4 linked regions of the Astyanax mexicanus genome follow. The protein of the gene in region 1 binds, or shares a complex with, the protein of each later gene. Links are inferred from orthologs where the notes say so. Each region holds a gene or a part of one and is shown on either strand. Other genes may lie near its edges. The genes, in order: drc1, ccdc135, gas8 and efcab2.

Region 1 (7,922 bases):
ATTACTCCTACTACTTCTACTCCTACTACTACTAATAATAATAATCTAATAATAATAAATGATGATGAAGATTATATAATATTATAAAATATTATTACTATAATATGTATGTATACTGAATATAGCTATATTCATAAAAATATCAAGCAATTTATTAAACCATGTCTAAGAATTCACAGCTCTCGGGATATCAAAATAATTTATTTAAAAGTGTGTGAAAATTTCATGTGCACATCTGGGAAAACTCACCCCATAAAGACATCCCAGTGAAATCACAACCTTCACACTGTTTTATTTTCAAGTGACTGAAGACACGTACTAAATGTTCAGTAATGAATAATATTTAACTCACCTAATATTTGTCATATTGTCTCCATACTTACCTTGCATCTTGTCAAGGCAAAATTTGGTCAAATATCATGGCAAATAAAATAAACAATGTCACTATAATTAAAATCGTTTGCTGCACCTCTAGATCAAGCACGTTTTAATTGCATGGTAATTTTCCTTAAGTAATTATTTTTCATATTTGTAAGGGTCACAAGGCACAATATTCTGATAATGTATCAGGTCTGCTATTCCACTTACATGCACTTGATGTCAGTGTTAGACATTGAACAAAAACCCTGGCAAAGAAACAGAAAATAACTAAAATGTACTAAAATGACTATTCTCCACTCTGTTTTCCATTTGCAAAACCATACTGCACTTCCTAATATGCAATTTTTAATTAGCAATACACAGAAGACACTCTCCAGTGGTTTTTATTTTCCAAATTACACACGCAAACACACACACATGGCTGAAGTCCATTCCATCTTTTGAAATTGTTGTTGTTTTTTTGTACAGTAGTCACAGTCTGACATGAGCAGGGTAATGCTTTACATCTAGCAAATGTTTCTGAAGTAAAATTCAGCATAAATCAGTGCACTGTCATGATCTGGACTGATCTACTACAGCAGGGGTATTTAATTAGGATTCAGTTTGGTCCAGTTACGCCAGGCTGAGGTCCGGACCGTCGCCATTTTTAACTTGTGTTATGATTTAGTATTGTATACTGTATACTGAAGAAGCCTAGTACTTCTGTCAGTGTTTTATGTCATCAACAACTGAAAGACAAAACAAATTACACATACTAGTATATTTCAACAATATGTATTGTTTTAAATAGACCTGTCACAATAATTACATTATCACCCTATCATAAAATTAATGGAAACACCCTAAATTTATCGAGAATGTGAATCTGTATGTTAACTTTGTTTAAAAATGCTATATTTATTCAATTTGATTGTATTTATATTAGATTTAGGCCTGCCTGTCATTATAATTACGTGAATGGCAAATCATACAATATATGAAGAAATGTTTGCTGAACTTGGCCAAAATATCAGCTTAAAAAAAAACAGTAGTTTTATTTTATTTAATATTATTACTGTATCAGACTTAATTATGTTGTGGGTAAAACTGATGGGGGAAGTTGCCAATGCTTTTTGTACCCTGGGCGTTGCCGTAGTTTTGAGGTAGGGTTGTTTTGGGAGTAGAGAGAGCGCGCCTGCGAGCGAGGGAGTTTTTTTCTTTCTGAGGAGTTCTGATCAGGTGGAGTAAAGTGGAATATTTTGGACTCTTGTCTCGGTTGTTTCTCTTTAATTCCTCCAAGTAACACCGCTCTATTACATTACTGCTAATATGTTTTATAAAGGTAGTATCTTAATGTATTTTTCTGGTGCGCACCATCTGTATTCTCATCTTTTCTCGCTTTATTCTCCCACTTCTCACCGCCTGCTTCGCCTGTGTGGCTCCGCGCGCTCATATCTGCACAGATCTGATTGGTACGGTGGCCGAGAAAGCCCAACGCAGTGCAAATGGAAAAGCGCTGCAAAAGCACAAAACACATCCATCAAAATTACAACACAGGCGCAGCAACTAGAAAAACGCGCAGCAACTAGAAAAACGCGCTGCAACTAGAAAAACGCGCTGCAACTAGAAAAACGCGCTGCAACTAGAAAAACGCGCTGCAAATAGAAAAACGCGCTGCAAATAGAACCACAACACAACGGAAGTGAGTCACAACACAAGGGAATATTCCCGGGGGACCTGTACCAGGTACTGTACCAGCTAAGCTGCGTCTTCAGTAATGTCTCGGACTTCACTATGTGTACAAAGGACAATAAGTGGCAAACAAGGCGTTTTGTGAAGCAGAACTTTTAATAAACATAACTTACTTTTCAGAAGCTTGTTTGCCACTTATTGTCCTTTGTATACAGCTGGTACAGCATCTTTTAAGGTCCCCCGGGAAAATTCCGTTGTGTTGTGACTCACTTCCGTTGTGTTGTGGTTCTATTTGCAGCGCGTTTTTCTTTTTGCAGCGCGTTTTTCTATTTGCAGCGCGTTTTTCTATTTGCTGCGCCTGTGTTGTAATTTTGATGGATGTGTTTTGTGCTTTTGCAGCGCTTTTCAATTTGCACTGCGCTGGGCTTTCTCGGCCACCGTAGCATAGGATTGGCAAAGGAGAGCGTTTTTTACAGCACACGTGATTGGTCAGTAAATTTACTGCGCTGTAAAGCACGTAAACCATAAAGACCATAGGCGTAGGAACGGGGGACATGTCCCACCCAATATCAGAAACAGGTGGATTTGTCCTCCCCCAAACATTATACCGCAGAACAATGGCGTCGCCAGGAGCGAATCGTTTCTCTCAGCTCAGCTGTGTTTTTAATGAGTAGACAGAATGCTGTGTAAATGGAAAATCTCTTAGCGCTAATCACGGAGCCGCCGGTTCAGAAAGAAAGTCACTCCTCTTAAGAGAAACAGCCAATCAGCTCGCTGGTTTTGCGAAGCGCGGAGGATTGCTGTGGAGGATTTGTAATGTTTTCTTTTTAAGGGGTGCAGCGGGGCTGACGATAAAACATATCTGGATATACAGCTATTTTTCTAAAAGAAAAGTAACGGATCTAACCATGTAAACTGTGTTGAGATTATTTCTGATAGATGGTTAAAAATAAACGAATCAAAACCCACAGATCATACCCTCTGTGAGCTTGTGATAGTCATTGTGATTTGTAGATTAGGATTGCAGGATTACTGTAAATTTTAATGAAGAACAATTATTTTAGCTAGCTTAACTACTTAGCTAAAAACTGGATTTAGTGGACAGCCAGACTTCAGTACAATACTTTATGTTGGTAGTTTGAAGCAGTTTCTTATCCCTGATCACTGGACTAAAATTGTGTGTTTTCACCAGATCCAGCTCATTAGCTACTAAACTAAAATCTATTATATTATTTTAAACATTAGGTGATACCTCATCAGTTTTTTTTCTCATATATGTATTTAATTCAGACATTGCACGCATATTGTTTTCTAACAACTGTAAATGTAAAGTGGAGTAACATGTTTAGTTTGTAAAGTGACCTTTACTTGGATGTAACTAATAATAAACAGAAGTACAGAAAATAATGGTTTATTTGTTATTAAAGGTAATTCCACAAACGTTGTTCTAAAAGACTATAATAAGACAATAAACGTTCCACCGCTTTAAATAAACGCTGTCAGAATTAAATCCTTCTCAGTAGTTTATCGGTTTGGGTCCGCATTGTACAACGTCTGGGTCCAGACCCGGACCGCAGTCCGCATATATGTGGCCTAGATCATATACGGTTTTGTTTTATAAAACCACTCCTTGCTGCCCTGCAGAGAAACAGGTTCAATGTTCAGTTTTACCGTGTTAAATATTGCAGGTCAAGAAAGACTTCATTTATTTAATATTTTTTTATAAAGCAAGTATTTATGTTAAGTTAAATCAAGAAAGTTAAATCAAGAAAGACCATATTTTATTAAATATATATATATATATATATATATATATATATATATATATATATATATATATATATATTAAGTTAATTCAAGATAAATGGTCTTTTTATTTTTATAAAAAAAAACTTATTTTTTCAGGAAATAGTTCAACTTTAAATGTCTAGAGATACATTGTTGCTGTTAAAAATGCATTTCTATTAAAGGGAGTATTGGCAAAACTGGTTATAATTTTTATGTTAAGGCGGCAGGAGGTGGTGTCTGCAGCTGCTGAAAGTAACTAATAAAGTAACTTCTAAAGTAACTTAGTTACTTTTAAAATCAAGTAATCCATGAAGTAACTAAGTTACTTTTTAAAGGAGTAATCAGTAATCGGGTTACTTTTTCAAAGTAACTATACCATCACTGATTATATGATACGTAGGAACCAAAGAAAAGTATTTACAGAACATAAAAAATAAACGTGAAAGAAATAAAAGAAATAAATACTCAAACAATAACAAACTGTTGTTTATTCAAATATCCATCAGCAGGACTAAAGGCTCTGTTCCTGCAAGGTTAGATATCTATCTATAACACTGCTGAGTTAAATTTACAAACTCTTAACACTTGGTAGTTTTGTTCACCCGTCAAAGCACACTCGATGTAATGTGTGGCATACAGAAATTGAACACTGTCACTTTTAGAGAGTGCATATACGGACATTACACTCGACATTTAGCATGAAACCACCCAATCTGGCAACACTGCGAGCCGGTGTGCGCTGTTAATTTGAGGTGTCTCTCCATGTAGTTAATTAATGAGGATTAATGTTTGTAAACAGTGTAAATATAGCAGAGATTACTCCATGATCAGCTCAGAGCTTCACTTAACTTAATTCAGTTCAGTGAGTTTATGGAGTTTTAAACATGGCTCAACCCCCACCTGTGTGTGTTAATGCTACCGGTGCTGGCGCCTGATAATGAAACTGAGTGTCCGAATTCACTCCTGTGTACCCCTATGTAGTGCGACACTTTTAAGGGAGTAGGGAGCCAGTTTGGTCACAGCCCACAGCCCCCCCTTCACTGAGTTCTCTCTCGCGGGCTCCCTCTAGCGGGCCTCAGTAATGTTTTGATAGAGGGGGGCTCTGACTGTTTCATAGCAACGCGGGTAACAACAGTGAATTCAGCCCAACTCTGTGAAACTCACCTGTCCTCTCCCTCATTTCCTCTTTTCTTCTGCTCCGCTGAGTTACAGGGGAGATGTCACGGGCGGGCCCGGGCGAGCTGAGCCCCGCTGTGGAGTCCGACAGTCCGGAGGAGCGGATAGCGGCGCGCCGCCTCCGGATAGCCGCGCGGACCGAGGCCAGGACCCGGTGAGTCCAGCCTGACCTTCACTGACTCTTCTTAAACTGAATAACCTTAACATAACTAACTGTCTTCTCCAGAGATCTCCTCTCTGATCCTCTCTGAACTGTGTCTGACAGACTGGAGCTCGGGGAAGAGGCTCAGGAGCAGGAGGAGAACACAGAGGAGCCCCGGACCAGCCAGAAACAAGTGGATCAGAGTGAGAAGGTAATTAGATCAGAACAACCTGATGACTAAGAGGTTTATTAACCCTCAGGAGGGTTTTTTTCTGATTATCTGATTATATCTGTTATTACATCAGTTAACCTAGCTGATTCGTGCAGATATCTCCCACACAAAGTTATCTCTCCGTTTTTTTAAGAACACTACGATGTAGCATCATCAAAAAACCACAAGGTGTCCTTCATGTTGCAGAAAACATTATACAGTACACAGCCATATTCAGCCTTATGCAAAAAGCACCTATTTAAATTAAATCTTTTTGGCCTTTTGTAAACGCCAAATGGCAGTATGAAACGTAAAATATTTAATTAAAGTGTTTGAATGGTTAAACTGGTTGGAAGAGACCCGTAAAAGGTGTTTTTTTCTCTTCTTCTTTTTTGTTGCTGAATGTTCAGTTGCAGAGTTCTGACTTAACTTTACAGCACTTGTTTTTTTTTTACTTATCTGGCTTGTCTAGATGTGAATCTCTTATCAAGTGTACAGAACCTTTGTGCTTATTTACATATCTGTAAATCTCTGCAGCGTATGCTTAAACTGCAAACTGATGGCACAGAGTTAGTGACCAACATCTTGGTGGCAGCAGATGCCAGAGAGACAAAGAGGAGAGCACAGCTAGCGGAAGCACGTAGATTAAGGTAAACACTCAAACACACATCCAGAGATGATTCCACATACTCATATAAATGCGTGTCTCATGATAACACATCTTATGTTAATAATACTGCACAGAAATGAAAAGTTGGAGAACGAGGCAAAATCCAGCCTTGAGAAGTTCGAGGAGGTCACTCAAAATTGGCCTGTGGCCAAAGCAAAGGAAATTCCTCAGGATCTGAGAGATGCTCTGAAAAGCCAGCAGCAGCTCTGCATGCTGATCACTGAAGACAAGAATAAACTCATCAATGAACTGCAGCACGTAAGAAAACAAATGCACACACACATAGATATAACCATGTTTTTGAGAACATTTTTTGGATTATACAGTACAATGGGAGTAATACAGAAATGACAGAAATTAGACTAATATTAAGAGAAGGAAAAAAATCTTAGCTACATTGGAATTAGTAAAATAATGCTCTTGTAAAAGACTTTTGTTTGTTTTCTTTTTAAGTTTGTCCTGAAGTTAAGTTTTAAAATGTGCAAATACGTATATATAATGCATTTGGCATATACCATTAAGTGCCTAAGAAAATTCTTACAATCATTATTCTGCACAACAATGTGTTTATGCATTTTTAAAACACAGTGTTACATTAACAATTGTGAGCTTATTAAAAGGACACTGGTTTGCTTCCAGATTTCTTCTCAATGCTATGATTTAAAATTCACCAGCAGCAGCAGTTCACCTGATATAACTTAATAGAGCAGTGATTAATCAAAGTAGGTACTTTACAAGAACTACAAAGAGTGTTATAGTTCACAAAATTCATAAATCCTCAACCTAAAATATTGTGTCTCAAAATGTGACTAGATGTGACAAGAGCATGTTTTAATGTTATGTTTTGTTTCTAAATGTTGTGTTTTTATACCATGGCGTATAACATCACAGATTCAAAAGATATCATAAATACATTTGTGTTTGTGAAGGAACTAAAATCAAGTGATGACCGTTATGTGAAAGAGCTGAAAAAGCAGGCAGAAGACGTGGATCTCATGAGAGAGAAAATGCAAGAGCAGATGACGTCTCTGATGAAGTTGTATAGACAAGAGCTGGATCTGATCGAGGTGTGGTAATACTTTCTGCTGTTGGGAGTTCAGCAACAAGCATATTCATAAGTCAGCATAGTTCATACATCTAGTAGCTTGGTATCCAACAGTAACACAGGAATCTACAGGAATCACTTGATATATTAATTCTTTCAATATTTTCTATATTAAAACACACAACACAGTATAGATTTAAAGGTTATGGAAAATACAACACTATGCTATTTTTGTGGTCAGAATGCAGAAAATGTTCTTTTGATACTTATATTTGTGAAGATAATGCCCTACATTATATCATTACACCAAATATGTAGTTATCCAGGACTCTTGGACTCACTTATCTTTTTGCCTGGTGATGTTACAGAATTCATTTGATGATGAACGAAAGACTCTGCTCACAAGCAACTTGAAAAAGTGGGAGCAGCAGAGGAAAGAGCGGAGCGACAGAGAGGTAAAAGGCAAAAAGACTTCAACAGCCATTATTTTACTACACAATGCATACATCAGAGATTCAATAATGCTATTGGTGCTAATATACGTGTCTACCCTCTGATTCTATGTATGAGAGAAGCTGGAGCACCTACTGCAGAGGATTAAACAGAAGGAGGAGAATGAGGTTCTGCTGCATCGACTAAGAGTTGCAAATATAAAGGAGTACAACATGATGAAACTCAATCTAGAGACTCAAAGCGAGGTATACTATATTACGCTTCAACTGTTATAGAGAAGGAAGTTTGATTCATTAAACCCTATGTTTATTATAAAATTTTGTCCTAATGCACAAACTATTTGGAAATGTTAAGTAAAAGTTTGAATTTGCATATTTTATGATGT
Region 2 (7,639 bases), on another chromosome or scaffold:
TCCTACATTGTACAGAAAGACACACAGTGAGTCATTTTTTTGTGAAATGTTGTCAACTGGGGTCCATTTGTCGTCATCATGTTTGCTGTTTGAGAACTATCCAAAAACAACAGACAAAAGGTTAATTGCTTCAGCAACTGGAGGGCAGCCATAAAATCTGATAGCTGGGCATTTACCCCTGTACCTGCCAGTCAAAAAAGCATTATTCAATGGACAGATGGGACAGTGTTTGAATTGTAAAGATGGTTTCTGGTCAAACTAAACCTAAACCTAAACTAAATGGGAGTTTTAATTGTAGAACACCTTCCACATTGCAGTTTACTTACCCAAAATATTTTGGGTAGGGACTGTTTTTGGTGATTTACCACCATACTAAATTTAATCTGGGCCTAAAAAACTGGTTCTCCATTTCCAGTGTGAGTTAGGTAGCACAAGGTTATTAAATATATCAGTGAAGGTTTTTTAAGAACCAGTGCCATGTTGATCCCTGCCAGAATTCTTACACTTTTAGGGATGTTTTGCGAGTGGGAAAGATGGTAAATCTGCCAGTCCCCAGTGGGATGCTATACATGTGCACTGACCTTTCCTAGGGTATTAGGGAAAGAATGTGGTGGTGTCATGGGAGTGAGTTAGGACCATCCATATGAAGGCCACCTGGATTGAGTTATCATAGCCCAAATGAGCTGGCAGCTTTCTTTTCTCACAAATATACATAAGTGTAAGAAAATAAATATTATTATATTGATATTAACATATCAAACCCTTAACTCTTAAAATACCTACATTTTAACCTATGTAAGATGTGCTATTCAATTCCTCACCTCATGTTATCAATCCAGCAGTCAACACCAATAGGCATGAACATGTTGAGGTCGATCCACAGGGGAAACCAGTCCTCAGATTTCTTGTAGCATAACCAGTGGACCAGTGAAGGCTTGTCAATCTTCGCTTCAAGGCGATTTCCCAAATTCCCAGGCACTAAATCATCAGGGTCAAGGAGTTCAGGAGAGTAATAGTTCAAATGAGACATTTTCATAGCCCATGAATTTTCACTACAGAACATAGTGGCTCCAGCAGTGGAACCAATCTATGTCCAGGACTACCACCAAACCAGTTCAAGCTATGCTGCCAAGCTATGTCCAGTAATGCCTCCAAACTATATCCAGCAATGCCAACAAATTATAACGAAAAATGCTGCCAAACCATGTCCAGCAAAACCTTCAAACTATGTCTGGTAATGGCACCAATGTCCAGCTAGTCCACCAAACTATGTTTGGCAATGCTTCCAAACTATGTCTGGTAAAGGCACTAATGTCCAGCAATGCCACCAACACCAAACTGTCTTACTCTAGTAGTGTCCCCAAGCTATGTACAGAAATGTCAGCAAACTGTGTCTGGCAATGCCACCAACTTTATCCGGCAACAGCAGCAATGTCCAGCAATGCCACCCTACTTACTCCAGCAATGTCACCAAACTATGCCCAGCAGTGTCATCAAACTATGTCCAGCAATAGCATTAAATCATAACAGGCAATGCCACCAATCTATTTCTAGTAATAACACCAAACCATATCCAGCAATGCCACCAATTTATCTACAAAAAACTGTGTCTGGCCATGCCACCACTGGCTATGCCATCAACCTATGTCCAACAATGCCACCAAACCACATCCTCTGATGTCACCAACTATATCCAGCAATGTCACCAAACTCTATACAGGTATGCCACCAAAAAATATGTACAAGGATGTCAGCAAACTGTGTCTGTCCATGCCACCAAAATCTATCCAGCAATGCCATCAAACTATGTCCAGCAATGTCACCCAACTATATTCAGCAATGCCACCAAACTATGTCTGGCTATTCCATCAAACATTTTCCAGCAATGCCATGTCTTGCTATGCATTCAAACTACATTCAGCAATGACACCAAACTATGTCTGGCTATGTCCAGCAATGTCAACCAACCATATCCAGCAATGCCACCAAATTATGTCTGGCTATGCCATCAAATTATGTCCAACATTGCAACCCAACTATATTCAGCAATTCCACCAACTATGTCTGGCTATTTAATCAAACTTTATTCAGCAATGCCAGCAAGCTATGTCTGGCTATTCCATCAAACTTTTTTCAGCAATGCCACCTAACCATGTCTTGCTATGCATTCAAACTACATTCAGCAATGTCACCCAACTCTATCAAGCAATGGTATTAAACTATATCCACTAATGTCAATAAACTATGTACAGGAATGTCACCAAACTGTGTCTGGCTATGCCATCAAAGCATTTCCAGCTATGGCATCAAACCCAAACATAAATGCTGTCACACTATGATGTTACTAAACTATATCTACTATGTTACCAAAGCGTTATCTTACCTATGATGAGTGGTGGAAGTGTGCTGTTACTTGGTACACGAGGTTTGGCTGTAGGGGGGAAGATCACGTTCAGAAGCCAGAAGGCTGAACACTGATGAAGGGCAATCAGAACGATGATCACGGAGCTCAGCGCACGCGAGCCCTGCATGATTTCCTCTCCGTGTGGCTGGCTCTCCGGTAACGGGCTGGGCTGACTTTCTGTCTGAGCCCGGAGCAGTGGAGGAGTTTTAATGCTGAGGGAGCGCCAGGGGGCGATGAGGTCAGCGCAGCAGGTAAATATGAGCCGGACAGGACACAACAAGAAACGCGCTTAAATACCACATATATATATATATATATATTATATTATATCTTTTCTCTCTTTCGTTTTTATAATTATTGCCCTGCAGGCTATGAACATAAATATAATAGCCAATGCAGTGATATTTTAATATTTACAATTGGTGTAGAATAACTAATATTATCATTATATTCGAATATAATATTCTAATATTATTGTAGGAAATCAAGAAGGAGCAGCTGCATCTTTTTACTTTCAGTGTTTCTTTTTTGTCCTTAGAACCCCCCCCCCCCCCCAAACACACACACACACACACACACACACACACACACACACACACACACACACACACACACACACACACTGTTATATAAACACCCCTGGAGTCCTAAACCAAACCTTATTTAACCACATGAACCAAAATGAACTTTTCTGACTGCTTTTAAAAAAAAAACCTTAACAGTAATGCATTCTCGTTGGGATCTGTCGCACAGAACCAGTGTCCTGGCTCTATTGATCGTACTACTGGGCAGTTAATCATTTACAGCTGGGATGAATGTTAGGTTCATTAATACTCCTGTAGTACTCTCACTCTGCTGAGAGATGGGTAATGCAGAGAATAGACTACCCACGTGCAATCTCCCCGTTATATTAGAAAATGACTGTAAACCGCTAGAGGGAGCCCGCGAGGGAGTTCAAAATGAATGGGTGCTAAATGGAGCTAAATGGCTAAGAACTCAAATTACAGTTTTTCTCTGTCACTTTGAAAAATTTTCTCAGATTTGATTGAATTTGGTCAAATTACACATTATTTTTTCACGTGTGCAGAACACAGATAACATTTCTTATTAAATTATACAAGCAGCAAATGCTTTAAAGTGCTATGGCAAATTTATTCTGTACAACTGGCACAGTATGACTGCCTAAGATAGATAAACGTGTATGAGATGAGAAATATGGGCCTTTTACTTAGAATTAGCCCAGTCTCACTGCAAGAGTATAAATCTAAATATCACTATAATTCATTCCAAGATGAAAATATATAGAAACCAATCCACTCTCCGTTTTCTTACAAAAGATTATCCTTGGATTGGAGCTTTGATGTAATATTCAGTTTCTTCATGGGCATTTATTTACAGAACAGCAAGCTTTATTATTCGACTTAATTATTATAAGCCGTGGCCACGCCTTAGGATCTCATTCCCATGCCTTACTAAGTCGTGGCCACACATTGTTTTATTTTAACATGATGTCACCTCCATACGAGAAGAGTGTCTCTTATAATCTATTTTTACACACACAAAATTAAACAGCAATCTTTATTCTGTTATTGTCTGACACGGTTCCCGCTCCTGATACATCCTTTGTATGTGTGTGTGTGTGTGTGTGTGTGGCCAGTCAGTCATGGATTACATTAGCATTGAGAAAATTCTTAAGGAGTAAACTGATACACTACTACATGACTAATAATCATTTGATTGTTTAAAAGGTTTGTCTTCGGTGCTGAAACATGTTATATTTTTCTGTGTTGTGGAAATTAGTATATTTTTCTGTGTTGTGGAAATTAGTATATTTTGGGTATGAAAATAATTAGACAATTATAAACCCTGCTCAGTTGCTTCATTCATTTTGGACTCATTATACGACATATCATTTTTTGATTACTAAAACACGTGTTACATGATAACCATAAATAATACCAGACTCCTAATAAGGAGAGATTTGAAAATATTTTATTAAGCATAAATATTTTTGAGTTAACATTTAGTATTTATTCTCATATATCGTTTTAGATTTTAGTTGTAATTATTTTCACATGTGCCAAAATGTTTGCACAGTAAACGTGAAATATGTGATTTTAAAAAATAATATTGGTTAAATATGTTTTAAAATCTAACGTACGTGAGCTCGTGAGTATCCACGAGCCAATCCAAGCACAGGAGTGAGCGCCGGAGGGGCGGGCTTTGGGAGAATGCGGCTCGCGGATTGGTTTAGGTGGTGAAGGGCCATGGGCGGGGATTTTGTCGCTTATGGAAACCGAGTATAAACAGTTCCAGCGTTACTGAGGAGTAAAAGGTAAGCGGTTCATACTAACGTAAATATCTCATATAGTAAACCAGAATAGTCTGTATTATATACAGCTTTACTATGTAGTGAAGATTGTAAAACAAGGGTTAGTGTGTGCACGTTTTCTAACTGTCTGTAATCTAAATATATTTAGCTGTGATATTCTGTTTTTTTTGGGTCTCACTCACATTTAACAAATAACGTTACAGCTCTGGAAAAAAAATAAGAGACCACTTCAGTTTCTGAATCAGTTTCTCTGATTTTGCATAGGTTTATGTTTGAGTAAAATGAACATTGTTGTTTTATTCTATAAACTACAGACAACATTTCTCCCAAATTCCAAATAAAAATATTGTCATTTAGACCATTTATTTGCTGAACTGTTTGGATACAAAAATCAAGCAGTTCAGCTTGGTTTGATGGTTTGTGATCATCCATCTTCCTCTTGAGTATATTTCTTAGGTTTTCAATGTGGTAAAATCAAAGAAACTGGTGGTCTTTTATTTTTTTCCAGAGCTGTATAAGTACTGATTTTTACCAGGGCACTTGTATTTATTTAAATTATCAAAACAGTAAAATCTATCTTTCCAAGAGCAGAGCTCTGGTTAAAAACAATATAAGATACATATAAGATACATACATACAGGTACATCTGAAAAAATATAATATTATTGAAAAATTACATTATTTCAGTAATTCAGTTAAAAATGTGACATATATCATAAAGATGCATTACACACAGAGTGATCTATTTTAGGAGTTTTTTTCTTTTGTTGTTGATGATTATGGCTTACAGCCAATGAAACCCCCTGGAAAATGAAATCCTGTGATCTTATTAATTTTACAATGTAAAAAAATATATATAAAAAGAAAGAAAAAAGTGTAATGAGAAGAGGTGTGTTCAAACTTTTGACTAGTACTGTATATAGCAGCAACACATTATCAAAAAGAAATTCAAAGTAAAGTCATTGACATCTATCACACTTGCCTCAGATAAGGTCAATGTTAATAATTCAATAAAAAGAAAGAGACTGGGTGAAACGGACGTCCATGAAAGAGTTCTAAGGCAAAAACCACTGCTGACCAACAAGAACACAAAGAACATTGCTTTGCTTCTTCAGGAGCTGGACAATTGCTATAATTGATGGAACCATGAATCCATGAACCATGATGCTCTCTACCAAAAACTCTAAAGGAGAATGCCTGGCCATCAGTTTGTGACCTTAAGCGTAGGCGTACTTGGGTTGTGCAGCAGGACAATTATCCAAGGCATATCAGTCTACATCTGAATGGCTTAAAAAAAAGTGATGTGGCTTGATTTTAAACAGGCTGTTTATGCTCAAATACCTTCCAGTATGGCTGAATTAAAATAATTCTGCAAAGAACAGTGGGTGAAAAAGATTCATTTATCGCAAATGCTTGATTGCAGTTGATGCCAAGGGTGGCACAGCCAAGTTATTAGATTTGGAGGCAAATACTTTTTCACATAGGGCCAAGTTGGTTTGGATAGATTTTTGCTTTTTATATTTATATATGTTATATTTGTTTTATATTAAAATGTGTTTGTTAATCTGAAAGCTAAACTAAATCTGTAGGGGGCAAATACTATTTCACAGCACCGTATATTCTTCAAAAGGTATGTTTTTCACACAGTTTGGTCTTGCTGTATTTGCACAGTTTTGCTCTTATCTAATGTTTTTCATGCTTGCCATCTGCCAGTTATGTTCAAGAGCTAAAGCAGGTGTGTTAGAAAACATGAAAGCCTGAAAACATGAATCGGTGGGATGGCAGGTCCCCTGGACTGCAGCATGTGCCTTGTTTTCACTCCTTGTAGATGGAGATGCTGCCGGAGGTCGAGCCTGAGCTGGAAGAAGCTGAGCTCCAGGAGGAGGAGGCAGAGCAGGAGGAGGAGGAGGGAGGAGAGGATGGAGGTCTGAGCGAGTTACGGGAACTGGAGGAGACGCTGGCCAAAGTGCAGATAGCCCCCTCAGCAGCCCAACTGTGAGGTTACTATAGTTCGTTGGCGCTTGGTAAACTCTGTGCTTGTGTTAAAGTGAGCCGGTATCATGGTTATGCCACCCCGACTGTTTGCATTACACAATCACTGACTGCAAACATGAAGATGTAATGTCTCATACACGCTGTGCTGAGGGGGAAAACACACTCAGGAAGACCACCCAAACAAAAATCAATAGGCTGTGTATTGAGTATGGGGTTACTAAAGGTCAACATGTGTGTTAAGATAGCAAACAGTGGCTTTAGCATGCTCTTAGCATGTTGTGGTCTTGAGAAAACCATAGGAAGTCCAGATTTCAAGCATGATGAAAACATGGCCTCACATCTGGTGGTCAAGTTAACAACACACCTAATGAGTGTTGCTTTTCTTTAGTAGTCTAATAATAAGTAATATATAGCTGAAAGTAAGATTCTGACAGAATTTTATGTGTTTCCTAATGAAAGAGAAGATCACTCAACCTTTTTACACAGTGATGCTTGCTGTATAAAATCTAGGTCACCAATAAAAAACCTTAAAGCAGAGTGATTCACAAAATCTAAAACAATCCAGAATAAACAACAGTGTTGCTTTATTAATCTTCTTATGCTAATTGGGAAACACATGTTGTTTTGATATAGGAAGCTGCATTTTTGCTTAAGTTTGCCTGTAAGCATGTTAACATGCTGCTTAAAAGTGCATTTTGTTCTATAGCCATATGCCGTAGTATATACTAGTGCATCTCAGAAATTAGAATATCATTGAAAAGTTACTTAATTTCAGTAATTCAGTTCAAAATGTAAAACCTTACTACATTATATAGATTTATTACACACAGAGTGATATATTTTAAGTTTTTTTTTTATTGTTGATGATTATGGCTTACAGCCAATAAAAACCCAAGAATATTATATAA
Region 3 (6,903 bases), on another chromosome or scaffold:
TATCAGGCATACCTGGTTTACTAAAGCGAGGCCAAGTGTCTTTAGGTGCGGTCATCCATGTACTTCTGTGAAACTGCCTCTGTCGTTGCCTGGGCCTGAAAGGAAAAAACACACATACAAATTAACCAAAAAACAAGCCACAATAAAAAGTGACGGTCTTACAGTACATGTATGTGCATGCTTAAAAAACATCGAAAAATAGAAACCAAACCAACCTTTGGTCTCCCAAAACAGCCCGAGCTCCAAAATATCGCTTTAGTTCATTCTCAGGATTCAGGTTCCTAATAGACAAAAGTTAAGTTAAAAGTTAAAAGTTAACAGCAGCAATTTCTGAAACTGTAAAACAAAACGTATGCCATCCTTCAAACATTCAGAACTACAAACAGCCTTCACCTGTGCTCCACATAAAGTACAGGCCTATGGCCTGAGACTCCACTGTCCTCACTCTGGTGTGAAAGGCCATTGGTCTTTTCTATGGTCTCCAGCAGAGCGTCAATGTCATCCCCTGCAGTGGACTCCTCCTATGAAGATTTAGAAGATAGTAAGAGAAGAGGAAGAACAGAAACACAAGCAAAACCTCCAGTGTTAAAATGTTCTGTTTTACACAAGTTTATATGATATGTAATATATACAGTGCATGTCATACCTGCACATCCCCAGGAGCAGTCTTTTTTTTCTTCTTCTTCTTTTTCTTTTTTACTTTCTCGTTAGAGTCAGACTACAAAATAAAAAGAAAAGATAAGAATAGGAATGCTATGTTTAAATGGTTCTGTTTGTGATCAAATTTGCCACTAGATGTCATACAGAGCACCAGCATCTCAGGTCAGAACAAAAAAATGCAATTAACACAAGCCTTAACTTTGCCACGCATGTTAAAGGGTTGACTTGAGTCTCTTTAGAGAAGAATTTAACAGTTATTTGTCCGTTTTTAATTAATGGTAATGTAGTTTTAAACCTTTGTGGTCTCCATATCAGGTTGGCACTCTTGCTTTTGTACTCCATGGCTTCTCCCTGTCAACACGTTCTCCTCATCAGTGGGACTTTTGTCTGTATCATTGTCAGGGTCACCAATCTGTAACAGCACAGAAACAAATAAACATCCACCCTGCTAAGAAAATTATATAAACTGATAGAGGCAGTCACTCAATGTTTATTAGCAAAGATAGAAAATCAAGATATCTGTAATGCAGTTATCCTAATAGAGGTGCTAACTTTGAAAATCAATTATGAAATATTTACTATCAAAAATATCTGATCTAATGATCTATAAATATATACTGCCAGGATAGCATATGCCTTATACAATCTGAATCATATCATGCCATTGATTCTCATTTGCTCATATATACAATTACCTTTTACAGCTTCAGTTACAAAAATACTAGTGCATCTCAAAAAATTAGAATATCAGTGAAAAGTTACTTTATTTCAGTAATTCAATTCAAAATGTGAAACTGATATATCATATAGATGTATTACACACAGGGTGATCTATTAAGTGTTTATTTCTTTTTGTTGATGATTATGGCTTACAGCCAATGAAAACCCAAAAATCAGTGTCAAAATCAGAATATTATATAAGACCAATTGGTACTTTTGGAAGTGTGGACAGTGTGCCAAGTCCTACTGGAAAATGAAATCCTCATCTCCATTAAAGTTGTCAGCAGAGGGAAGCATGAAGTGCTGTAAGATTTTCTGGGAAAACACTGCCCTGACTTTAAACTTGATATAACACAGTTGACCAACACCAGCAGATGACATGTCTTTTCAAACCATCACTGATCATCAGTAAATTGTACATTTCATTTGGAAATCAAGGGATCAGAGTCTGCTGGAAGAGTGGAGACACACACAGTCCAAACTGCTTGAGGTCTAGTGTGACATTTCCACAATCAGTGATGGTTTGGAGAGACATGTCATCTGCTGGTGTTGATCCACTGTGTGTTATATCAAGTCTAAAGTCAGTGCAGTTTTGTTTTTCCACAAAATCTTACAGCACTTCATGCTTCCCTCTGCTGACAACTTTTATGGAGGTGTGAATTTTATTTTCCAGTAGGACTTGTACAATATGTCCATAAAATCCAGAGTTCTAATATATTTTAATTAATTAATATGTGTACCTGGATTTTTTAATAGAATAGAATACTGATGGTGTATTTTGACATAATGGTGTATTTTTGATTGTCTCAGACATCTGAGTTTAAAAAAAGAAAGAATTTACTATACAATCATATTCATCTTCTGGACCAACCGTGTCTCTTATTTGTGTATAGTAATGTTTATAATTCTATAGCTATATCTTTAATTGGACTTAAAAAGTACATGTTATGTAATTGTAGATGCCAGGAAGTGATTAAAGTAAACAAATAGTACTAATAATAACAGTAACAGTATTACTGGTTATATTGATGATGATAATAGGAGATTCTGGGAGTATGGCTGGTCAGTGTGGAGTTTCATAAGTTTGTTTATATCTGGAATAAGAAGGTTTAGCATTACAGAGATCCTGAATTTGAGTTTTATTGTATTAGTAAGAACTCTGGTTATCAGCAGTCAGTCTGTATCAGTCTTTAGCTGTTCAGTGTTATTAAAGTTCTGACCAGTTCATAAATGTTGCTAATGTTCTTCTGAGATTTGCTCCTCTTGGTTTTCCTGCCTGCTCCTCTGACCGGCTGCAGAACCTCCTCCTGCTCCTCTAACTCCTCTCCCTCCCGCGCCGCCTCCTCCTCCTCCTCCACCCGCAGCTCCGCGAGGTCCAGGTCCTCCTGGCCGCGCTGCTTCCCCTTCAGTCTGCGCAGCGCGCGGCTCGACATCTTCACAAACTCCCTAAAACCAGCGGATCTGCAGCAGCTGCGCCCAACTGAGACCCCACCATAACCAGCACCACCAGCGACCCAACAACACGCCTCCTGATTGGACAGCAGTACGGAAACGCTGTCACTGTCACTACCGGAAAACAAATAAAAGTCCCACATGTTAATACAACCAGAAAACTTTTTTTTAAGTATTTTTACAACCAACATCTCAAGCACATCAAAACAAAAACATAAATAGACAAACAAAATAAACAGAAAAAAGTGGGATTCAAATTAATTTAAAATATCGAAGGATTTATGTTTTTTTCTATTTTTAATTTGTCCAAAAATTTCCAGTAAGTAATAATAATTATTTAGGTCTGAATAAATAAAAGTTCGGAATAATGGTATCTATTACAAAGTAAATATAAAGTCAAATCACTATAATTATATTCATTAAGAAAAAATAATTGCATTTAGTAGAAGAGAGCTTTAAAGAATCTTTATAACTTTTGTTTTGTTGAATATATATGTATATTTTGTATTGTTTTGTTTTGTATTTTATTATGTTAGTTTAACCTAATTAAAACTTGATTTTATTTATATTTTATATATATATATATATATAAAAATGTAAAAGCATTAAAAAATCAACTAACCTAATTAATATTTAATTAGATTTCATTTTTAAAGAATTAAAATTATTTAAAAGTTGGACAAGCTAAAATAAAACAATTCACTAAATAAAAGCAGTCAAAGTAAGAGATCATTAATTAGAACAACAAAAAAAAGAACATAACCCCAAATGTAAAATCTGAGTAAGTAAAAATAACACTAACATAACAGTGAAGAAGGATAGGGGTAAAATTATTACAGAAGAAAAATATTAAATTATTATTATTAAAGCAAAAAGAATAAACATAATAATTACATGTTCATAATATATATCGTCCTTTTTTCGTAGTATAAATAAGAATAAATGATTAAAGATTCCTCGCATTGCTTAAAAAAACAACAAACACTTTCTGCTTGGGAATATTTACTGAGTGAGTGTGGAGAGTCTGCAGGGCAGCTCCACGCTGCAGCGACTCATTTCTATTCTCGCGAGATCTGAACTGGTTTCCATGGATCTGGTTTGTTGTTTGCAGACCATCAGCACAGGAGAGCTGTAGCTAAACTATCTAAAGCTAAATCACGAGAATATCTGTACAGTTTCTCTGCAGAAACACCCGAATACACACTGCCCTCATCTGACTGACCAGTACTAGCTACTTTACACACATACAGCATGGTAAGTGTGATTTAACAGCGTTAATTTGTTAGTTAGCTAACGTTATATAGGTTATATATCGGTATAGCTAGTGGAGGAGCTATCTAACCAGAGAGTTAGTTAAAGCTGTATAGACTAACAGTACATCATTAATGTGCGGTAATGCAGTGAGAATGGGTATTTGTAACATTATCCTCTCCAAATGTTCATATTTCAGCCTCCAAAAAAGAAAGGAGGGAAGACTGCGAAGGGCAAGAAGAGCCCTACAGTGGTGGATGGACTTTCCACAGAGGAAATGTCGAAGGAGCAGGTAAACTAATATTTTAGCCAGTTATAATGTCATTATTACTGTTTGTGTCTTCAGTGATAATTATCTAACAGGTTTCCAGCAGATTCAAAGGCTACTAAAGCTTTATAGTTTGTTTTTAAGGTTCCAACAACAATGAGACAGAAATTCTAAACGCATGTTGCCCCCCCTGTGGAGCAATGGAACTGAGTTTTTAGGAATGATGGTTCTCCATTTAGCACTTCTAGGGTGGTGAGTTGTTGAGATGGGGGTGAGGTGGGTTACTGTACAAAGGTGTGAAAAGTATTCACATTTAATATTCAAGTATAAGTATAGATACAAGGGTTTAAAAATACTTCTGTTTAAAAATACTTATTTTTAATCAAGTAAAAGTGTAAAAATACTTGTTTCAAAACTGCTTAAAGTATCTAAGTAAGAGTAATGTTAGGGGAAAATGCATTTAAATGCACATTTTTTTAAATGAAAGGAGTAGAAAGTACAGATAGTAGTGTGAAAATGTGAGGAGTAGAAAGTACAGATAGTAGTGTGAAAATGTGAGGAGTAGAAAGTACAGATAGTAGTGTGAAAATGTGAGGAGTAGAAAAACAGATAAATGTGTGAAATTGTGATGAGTAGAAAGTACAGATAATTATGTGAAAATGAAGGAGTAGAAGTTACAAGTCATCTTAAAATAATTACTCCAGTAAAGTATAGATAACCAACATTTCTACTCAAGTAAGGTAACAAATCATGTATACTGTGTAATATGACACTTCTGGGTGGTGATCATCCAATATCCTGTTCTCACTAACACGATTGTGGCTAAATGCAATAAAATCCCAACAGCAATGATCCAAAATCTATAATAAAGCCTTCCCTGGACAGTCGAGACATTTACTCCAACAAAAGCTCTATGAACTCTATTTATAATAATAAAATAAGCAGTTGTCCATATATTGTATATTGACTTTAAAGTGACAGTCCATAGGTTCTGGTGAGGATGTGAATTTGCACTGAGCATGCTAAAAGTACTTTTAAAATGTGCATTTTAGGCAAAGTCTTTTTACCAGAGTTAGCGAAACTGGTGACTGTTTGCACTCTCCTTAATTCACCAGTTCTCTCCTGGTCTATTTCTGTGTTTCTTTGGTTTAGTGAGATCTGAATGAGCTGATAAAGACTGTGTTTGCTGTTCTGATATCGTTACATTCACAATAGTTTTTTGTATCAACATCATTATTAGCACTATGGTTGTTCATGTTCTATGACCTACCAGACACCCTGTTTTTAGAATGAATATATGTGGCTTTGCAGGAAGCACACTGATGCCAAGTATTAAAACTAAAACTACGTCATTATCTTCATTCTTCATTAGTTGGAGGACCACATTGTCCGCTTGCGTGAAGAGCTGGACAGGGAGAGGGAAGAGCGCAACTACTTCCAACTGGAACGAGATAAGATCCACACCTTCTGGGAGATCACCAAAAGACAGCTGGAGGAAAAGAAAGCAGATCTCAGGAACAGGGATCGGGAAATGGAAGAGGCTGAGGAACGCCATCAAGTTGAGATCAAGGTATCAAGAATGATAATGAGAAGCTCTGGCACATGAAACACTGAAAAAGTTTAGATCTATCATGAATGATCTAACGGTGTTCGTTCTGTTATTCAGGTGTACAAACAGAAGGTGAAACACTTGCTGTATGAACAGCAGAACAGCATCGCAGAGCTCAAGACAGAGGGAGTGGTCACCACCAAACTGCTGCAGAAGGAACATGCAGACCTGGAGAATGATCTGCGGAAGGGCATTCGGAATCTAAAAGTGGATATCAAGGAACAGGAGCTTTCCAGTGAAAATCTGATCAAGAGTCTTAAACTGGTGTGTGAATGCTCAGCTTACAGCTAACATGACAGTCAGTGTTGATAGACTTTAGGCTGATAAGATGTGGACTCTTTTTTAGTTAATGCTATGCAGTTACTAATCATACCTTCTTTTCCCAGAAACATGATGAGGAAATTACCAAGATCAGGAATGATTTTGAACGACAAGTACGAGGTGATGTATCTCACCCTTTTTTATTTGCTTTTATATTAGAGTAAATATTGTAATGTTACAGGCTATATCTCTCTTTTACATAATGTACTACTGGTCAAATCATTTACTAATTAAAGGATTTTTTAATCAAGTGAATAAACCTGTCAACAACTTAGAGCAGATCTGTTGCATTGGAAGTAAATTAACCCTGATGCAAATTTAATGCAAACAATTTACTATTTACAGTCCCTTTCTCTGTATAAAAACAGTGTTGGAACAAACAACAGTGTTTCACTACCACAGTATTTACACAACACTCTACATTCAGATCGCTCATTACTCATTATGACTAAAAAAAGACACTTAAGTTTTAGAGGTTTGATCACTTGGACTACTGAAAACATTTAGGGTCTAACTGTTCTCATACTTTTGACCAGTAGTGTAAATTATGCTATTTTGTTTTCTCTTGCAGAAATAGAGGCTAAATATGAAAAGAAAATGCTGGCTCTGCGCCAGGAGCAGG
Region 4 (7,558 bases), on another chromosome or scaffold:
GACCTCCTGCCACCTCCCTCTGACCGGGATCAGCGCTGTGGGTCACATGACACACCTGAGTGATGTCAGGAAGCATGTGGGGCTATGTAAGGAGGGGGAGGAGTTTCTGGGGAACGTTCTGGAACGGGTCCTGCCACTGGTCAGGGCGCCGGACAGAACTGTCCTGTCGCTCTGCTGGCTGCAGTACGAGAAGCTGAAGGTCAGTCAATTACTGATATACATTAAATACTGTACTCAGGTAATTCAGTACTGAGTAACAGTTTATCCAGTACAGCGCAAGCGTGAAACATGTGACCTGTGAGATTATTTGAACTGTAGTAAACGATAATTGCGGTGCGTGTACAGCAGCAGCAGTAAGCGGTTGCGGGTTGCGGCGAGGGAAGCGGTGTGTGTAATGTGTGTATAATAAGTGTGTGTGTGTGTGTGTGTATTGCAGGTGTTGCGGTGTGTGTACAGCAGCAGCAGTAAGCGGTTGCGGGTTGCGGTGCGGCGCGGGAAGCGGGTGGGGAAACGGTTACTGAAGCTGCCGGAGAACCGCAGCAGCCTCAGCCTGTGGCGGGAGTACGCTCACCTGCAGTGGATTGTGGGTAATGTGGAGGAGGGGCGGAGAGTGTTCGACACGGCACTCGCAGTGGGAGGGGCTTCAGGACTGCAGGACCACACCCTCTGCGAACTCTGCCTTTTGTACGCCCAGTTAGAGGTGGAGCAGGCGTGCATGGGCGGAGCTAAAGCCTCCGTGGCTCCGCCCACTGGCTCTCGGGCTGTCTATGTTCTGAGCAGGCTGGCGGAGGGGGGCGGGTACAGCGGGTTCTCAGGGCAGGTGAGCCCGGTGTCGGTTCTAAAGGCCCGGAAAGCGTACGAGAACGCCCTATCAGCAGCTGCAGAGGGCGGGACACCACGGAGTGCTCTGATTGGCTGTTTCGGACTGTTCCAGTACCTGACGGTGGGGATTGACGCTGCTGATGCGGTCTTCACTGAAGCCAGAGAGCGGCTGACACCCGGCACTGCCACTGCCACTGCCACTGGCACAGAACCCGACCCGTCACTCAGAGAGCGCGAGGCCGTGTGCGTCCTGCATGTGGCACTGCTGCGGCTGCACTCCAGCACCAGCGCCTTCCCCCTGTCCCGCCTCCGGATGGCGCTGACCGACGCCCTGCGCCTCCTGCCCTGCAGCGCCACCCTGTGGCACTTCTACCTGCTGACCGAGAGCCGTTACCATAGCGCCGGCCGCGCCCGCAGGTTCTTCCACACCGTCGCCAGGGGCAACCAGACCATCATACCACACCTGTTCTCCATCACCGCAGAGCAGCGGAGGAAACAACACCTCGACTCCGTCATCAGGTCAGAACAGAACTACACAAACACACACACACTACACACTGTACACACACACACACACACACACACACTCTACACACACACACACACACTATACACACTAACCCCTCCCGTCTCTCTCTCAGGTTGGGTCTTCCAGCCGATGCTCTGCCAGTGATCCCGGAGACGGGCCTTAGTAACCGTATCCGCTCACTGTTTGAGGTTGCCGTGGCGACGGAGGAGGGAGCCCACTGCCCCCTGCTGTGGAGGATGTACATGAACTTTATGGTAAAACATCTTTCCCTCTTTTGTCTGTTAACCCTAAAGTGTATGGGTTTCAGGGACGGGGATGAAGATGTTGGTGATTATGGTGATGATGGTGATAATGGTGATGAATGGTGATTATGGTGATTATGGTGATGATGGTGATGATGGTGATGATGGTAATAATGGTGATGATGGTGATTATGGTGATTATGGTGATAATGGGATGATAGTGATGATGGTGATGATGGTGATGATGGTGATAATGGGATGATGGTGATTATGGCGATTATGGGGATAATGGTAATGATGGTGATTATGGTGATGATAGTGATGATAGTGATAATGGCGATGGTGATTATGGTGATTATGGTGATGATAGTGATGATAGTGATGATGGTGATAATGGTGATAATGGCGATGATGGCTATGGTGATGATGGTGGTGATGGTGATGTTGATTATGGTGATTATGGTGATAATGGGATGATGGTGATAATGGGATGATGGTGATGATGGTGATGATGGTGATAATGGGATGATGGTGATTATGGGGATAATGGTAATGATGGTGATTATGGTGATGATAGTGATGATAGTGATTATGGCGATAATGGCGATGATGGCGATGGTGATTATGGTGATGGTGGTGATGGTGATTATGGTGATAATGGGATGATGGTGATTATGGTGATTATGGTGATTATGGTGATAATGGGATGATGGTGATTGTGGTGATTGTGGTGATAATGGGATGATGGTGATGATGGTGATAATGCTAATAATGGTGATTATGGTGATAATGCTAATAATGGTGATTATGGTGATAATGGGATGATGGTGATGATGGTGATGATGGTGATAATGGGATGATGGTGATTATGGTGATTATAGTGATAATGGGATGATGGTGATTATGGTGATAATGGGATAATGGTGATGATGGTGATGATGGTGATAATGCTAATAATGGTGATTATGGTGATGATGGTGATGATGGTGATAATGGGATGATGGTGATTATGGTGATTATGGTGATTATGGTGATAATGGGATGATGGTGATTATGGTGATAATGGGATAATGGCGATGATGGTGATAATGGGATAATGGTGATGATGGCGATGATGGTGATAATGGGATAATGGTGATGATGGTGATGATGGTGATAATGCTAATAATGGTGATTATGGTGATGATGGTGATGATGGTGATAATGGGATGATGGTGATTATGGTGATAATGGGATGATGGTGATTATGGTGATTATGGTGATTATGGTGATAATGGGATAATGGTGATGATGGTGATGATGGTGATAATGGGATAATGGTGATGATGGCGATGATGGTGATAATGGGATAATGGTGATGATGGCGATGATGGCGATAATGGGATAATGGTGATGATGGTGATAATGCTAATAATGGTGATTATGGTGATTATGGTGATGATGGTGATGATGGTGATAATGCTAATAATGGTGATTATGGTGATGATAGTGATGATGGTGATGATGGTGATAATGGGATGATGGTAATGATGGTAATGATGGTAATGATGGTGATTATGGTGATGATAGTGATGATAGTGATGATAGTGATAATGGTGATTATGGCGATAATGGCGATGATGGCGATGGTGATTATGGTGATGGTGGTGATGGTGATTATGGTGATTATGGTGATAATGGTGATGATGGTGATGATGGTGATGATGGTGGGTGTGTGCAGGTGTGTAACGGGGACACAGAGAGAGGAAGAGGAATCTTCTATAAAGCTCTACAGAACGTCCCCTGGGCTAAAGTGAGTCCCTCTCTATATATACGTATAGTGTGTGTATATTTATATGGTGTGTGTTTGTATGTGTTATTTATATATATGTATTGTGTGTGTGTGTGTGTGTGTTATTTATATGTATATATATATATATATATATATATATATATATATATATATATATATATATATATATATGTATTGTGTGTGTGTTTTATTTATATATATGTGTATATATGGTGTGTGTGTGTGTGTGTGTTATTTATATATATGTATATATATATAATGTGTGTGTATGTGTGTGCGTTTGTGCAGTGTGTGTATATGGACGCGGTGCGGTTGTTTCCGGATCGGGTTCAGGAGTTTTTGGATCTGCTGGTGGAGAAGGAGCTCCGGCTCCGAGCGCCGATGGAGGAGGTGGAGATCCTGCTGGAGGAATAAACGCCTACACTACCCACAATGCACCAGACCTGCGGACCCTCACATACCTTTATTTATATTTTATTTGGATATGAAAATGGTAATTTTGTGATAAATGTATATATTTATAGTCTGCAGTGTCCGGGTTTTATTTTTTAATGTTTTTAATTAACGTCTTTAATAAACATCGATTTCTGTAATAAATACAGAACACAGTACTGTACTTTACTCTCAGTACTTCAGTACATTTTACTGTAAACTACTCCAGTATTGAAATACAAATAATGTTAAATACTTCTGTACTTTTACTGAAATGTGGAGCTTAAAGAACTTTAGCTTCCACATCCTGAAACATCTGATCCCACCACTGATCCCAGAACAGCAGCAGCTCAGGAATATTTAACAGTGATGAAGTAATGTCATGTAATAAAGTACTGTAATGTAATTAAGTACAGTAATGTAATAAAGTACTGTAATGTAATTAAGTACAGTAATGTAATGAAGCTCCAGTGTTGATCTTCTGGAGATCTGGAGATTTCTCCTGCACAGTTCTGTAATCTGAGCTGCATTGGGGGGAGGTGGTCTTAATGTTTTGGCTGTACATTTCATATTTCATTAAGCTTAATTTAAATATAAGATTTATATTAGAACAGTTGCATTATTACTTTAATCTATAATCTAATTTATAATCAGATTTTATATAAAACTCAGTCTTTTCTGTGTTGTGCAGAATTTAGAGCTGATTGTAGTTTAGTGGGCGGAGTTTGGGGGGGTTGCACTATCTGGCAACCCAGCTACCAGCAGCGCGTCCGTATCTAAGCAACCAGATCCGCGGTGGAATGGCGGAGGAGCGCGCGCTTGCAGGTAAACATCGGGTTCTCTTTATTAACTCTTTAAACCGATTAATCAATTAATCCAATTACCGATTAATCTCGAACCGCGGCGTCACTGTCAGCGCGGCTCTGCTGGGTTGCCAGATATTAACGCGTTTTTATTTCAGTGACCTGATGCAGAGAAAGTAGGAGAAACAGCGCTGTTTAAACACATCCACGTTCCTCTGATTCATTTACTTACGTTTAAAAATAAAAATAAATAAATCATTCTCTAAATCCAGCGACAAGATCAATAATCTGGCAACACTGGAACACTATAACACTGCTCTGTAACAGTAAAGAGTTACCCAACGCACTTTTAGTATTAATATAAAAAAACTGAAAGCACTTTACCATTTAGAATAAAATGCATCTAATTCTATACCCTCTCTACATCTGTACACACTCATTTATTCACCTCTAAATCACTTTTAGTGCATAAAATCACCTATTAATGTTCCCAGATAAGAAAAAAAAACACCAACAGCTCCAAATCTATAGGATTTACACATCTAAATAACGGGGGTGTTCACTTTGAATCATGGGGAAAATTCACACCCATTAATATTATACAAATCCTGTATTATAACTCTATTATATATTATATTTTATATATTTACAAATTTACTAGCATTTCAGCAACGGTGTATGATACAGCTAGGTGGCAGCAAACACACGCACTTCCTTTATATTTACAATACAGTGTCGATTCTCCTGTATATTTAATTGTAAAAATGTAATATACTGTATAATTGGCACTCTATCCAAATTTCTAAAGTGCGTGTGTTTGCTGCCACCTAGCTGTATCACATACAGTTGCTAAAATGCTAGTACATTTGAAAATATATAAAATATAATATATAATAGTCAAGTCAAATGTATTTCTAATTTAAAAACCACAAATACCAACCAAAGTACTGTACAATACAGAAGTACGAACAATTAAATATATAAAACTAAACAACAAATAAGATATAAGATAAATAAAAAAGTAGCATCAGGAAACAAGATTCAGATTAACCCCAGACACTCAGAACTGAACACACTGAAAGTCCTGAGAGTACAGGTACGATTTTAGATTAGTATTAAAACAGTGATGGAGGGAGATGCAGATTATTCCACAGTTAAAGCTCTGTAATCTTCTGACTTCAGTTCAGGAGTTTAAGCGTCTCTAAGAGCTGCTGATTTTTAGGACTCGTCGGGTTGAATATGGATGCAGAAGGTCGGAGATGATGGTCTGATGGAGACGCTGTTAAAACTTTAATTATAAATTGACCGACAGTCGGTACAGGAAGTCCTGTACAGGAGAGATGGACTCCCTCTCATTAGTCCCAGTTAAGAGTTCAGGAGGTTCTGAAGGTTCTGATCAGGAGGTTCTGATTGTGTTCAGGTGTGTCGGAGGTCCAGAAGAAGATCCGGAGCGCGTTTGATGTTTTTGATCATGAACAGAATCAAACTGTGGACGTCAGGTTGGTTCTGATTCTGCAGATTATAGTGATGTAGAGTTCTGAGTTCTGATCGGGTTCTGTAATGAATCTGATCCGATTTGTTTGTTTGTTTGTTTTTAGGGAGATCGGGACGATTATTCGTTCTCTCGGTCGATTTCCCACCGAAGCTGAACTGCATGACGTCATCGCTGAGGTCAGAGCTCATTTACATATTTCAGACATATTATATTAAATCTGCGGCTGTGTCTTTTATACTGGTTTATATACTAAGTTATATACTGGTTTATAGGTTACAGACAGGTTTATATACTGGTTTATAGACTGGGTTATATATATGTTTATAGACTGGGTTATATAGAGGTTTATAGACTGGTTTGTATACTGATTTATTTACTTGGTTATAGACTGGTTTATATACTGGTTTTTAGACTTGTTTATATGTTATAGACTGGTTTGTATACTGTGGTTTAGATTGATTTCTATACTGGTTTATATACTGATTTATAGACTGGTTTATATGCTAATTTATATGTTATAGACTGGCTCATATGTTATAGACTGGGTTATATAGAGGTTTATAAACTGGTTTATATACTCGTTTATAGACTGGTTTAATGAGCAGTGCTGGAAATGTTGTTACAGATCGAGGAGGAGGAGCCAGCGGGCTTCATCCGTTTTGAGAAGTTCCTGCCGACCATGTCCCGAATCCTGATGGAGAACAAGTAACTCTTGATCACTGCGTTTACACTGAACTGATTAATCTGAATTATTTCAAACTCCAGTTCTGATTGGAGGTTCTGATCAGAAATTCTGATCGGAGGTTCTCATCGGAAGTTCTGATCGGAGGTTCTGATCGGAGGTTCTGATCGGAGGTTCTCATCGGAAGTTCTGATTGGAGGTTCTGATTGGAGGTTCTGATTGGAGGTTCTGATCGGAGGTTCTGATTGGAGGTTCTGATCGGAGGTTCTGATTGGAGGTTCTGATCGGAGGTTCTGATTGGAGGTTCTGATTTGTTCTGTCAGGTTACGTCCCGTTCCTGAGGATCTTCTGCTTCAGGCGTTTGAGGTCAGAAACTCTTACGTTCATCTTGTTCAGATATTAATTTAACTTCAGCGGTGCAAAAGCACACAGTCTGAATCCTGTAGAGCAGGAGATCAGGAGGGAGATCAGGACTGTGTGCTAAAGGTGTTTATAGAGCGAATCTGGTTGTTAAATTAAATAATAATAAATAATATAAATGTGTTTCAGGTTCTGGATCAGCAGAAGAAAGGACACCTGGATCCGGAGGAGCTCAGCAGATATTTAACACAGGAAGGTAAATCCAGCACTTAGACTTTAGCTCCTCCCACTGCCGGTGACATCATCAGATATGTAAAGTTTACTGAAGATTAATTAGAAATTCCTGACTGTGTTTCGAGTCTCAGAGCTGAGGGTGGTGTTGTGGGTGGTGCTGAGGGCGG

The links.
Region 2: drc1 (region 1) and ccdc135 share a complex: the UniProt entries of both Homo sapiens proteins name them as parts of the nexin-dynein regulatory complex. The link is inferred for Astyanax mexicanus from reciprocal best matches to the Homo sapiens genes DRC1 and DRC7.
Region 3: drc1 (region 1) and gas8 share a complex: the UniProt entries of both Homo sapiens proteins name them as parts of the nexin-dynein regulatory complex. The link is inferred for Astyanax mexicanus from reciprocal best matches to the Homo sapiens genes DRC1 and DRC4.
Region 4: drc1 (region 1) and efcab2 share a complex: the UniProt entries of both Homo sapiens proteins name them as parts of the nexin-dynein regulatory complex. The link is inferred for Astyanax mexicanus from reciprocal best matches to the Homo sapiens genes DRC1 and DRC8.

The regions. Positions count from the first base shown.
Region 1 is NC_064408.1:51,791,831-51,799,752, reverse strand, and holds the start of drc1 (dynein regulatory complex protein 1), read left to right. Parts: upstream 1-4,907; 5' UTR 4,908-5,057; coding exon 5,058-5,170; intron 5,171-5,281; coding exon 5,282-5,369; intron 5,370-5,906; coding exon 5,907-6,019; intron 6,020-6,113; coding exon 6,114-6,297; intron 6,298-6,968; coding exon 6,969-7,106; intron 7,107-7,452; coding exon 7,453-7,539; intron 7,540-7,659; coding exon 7,660-7,782; intron 7,783-7,922. UniProt on the Homo sapiens protein: Component of the nexin-dynein regulatory complex (N-DRC) a key regulator of ciliary/flagellar motility which maintains the alignment and integrity of the distal axoneme and regulates microtubule sliding in motile axonemes.
Region 2 is NC_064417.1:7,192,612-7,200,250, reverse strand, and holds the start of ccdc135 (dynein regulatory complex subunit 7), read left to right. Parts: upstream 1-4,632; 5' UTR 4,633-4,739; intron 4,740-6,564; coding exon 6,565-6,731; intron 6,732-7,639. Other genes in the region: lcat (phosphatidylcholine-sterol acyltransferase), read right to left, coding at 1-2, 822-978, 2,384-2,531. UniProt on the Homo sapiens protein: Component of the nexin-dynein regulatory complex (N-DRC) a key regulator of ciliary/flagellar motility which maintains the alignment and integrity of the distal axoneme and regulates microtubule sliding in motile axonemes.
Region 3 is NC_064416.1:13,274,930-13,281,832, forward strand, and holds the start of gas8 (dynein regulatory complex subunit 4), read left to right. Parts: upstream 1-3,894; 5' UTR 3,895-4,083; coding exon 4,084-4,086; intron 4,087-4,282; coding exon 4,283-4,375; intron 4,376-5,723; coding exon 5,724-5,921; intron 5,922-6,017; coding exon 6,018-6,224; intron 6,225-6,346; coding exon 6,347-6,401; intron 6,402-6,852; coding exon 6,853-6,903. Other genes in the region: tcf25 (transcription factor 25), read right to left, coding at 13-95, 216-281, 394-521, 647-718, 956-1,072, 2,601-2,813. UniProt on the Homo sapiens protein: Component of the nexin-dynein regulatory complex (N-DRC), a key regulator of ciliary/flagellar motility which maintains the alignment and integrity of the distal axoneme and regulates microtubule sliding in motile axonemes.
Region 4 is NC_064421.1:67,561-75,118, forward strand, and holds the start of efcab2 (dynein regulatory complex protein 8), read left to right. Parts: upstream 1-4,540; 5' UTR 4,541-4,617; coding exon 4,618-4,642; intron 4,643-6,040; coding exon 6,041-6,119; intron 6,120-6,218; coding exon 6,219-6,291; intron 6,292-6,740; coding exon 6,741-6,820; intron 6,821-7,120; coding exon 7,121-7,163; intron 7,164-7,346; coding exon 7,347-7,413; intron 7,414-7,558. UniProt on the Homo sapiens protein: Component of the nexin-dynein regulatory complex (N-DRC), a key regulator of ciliary/flagellar motility which maintains the alignment and integrity of the distal axoneme and regulates microtubule sliding in motile axonemes.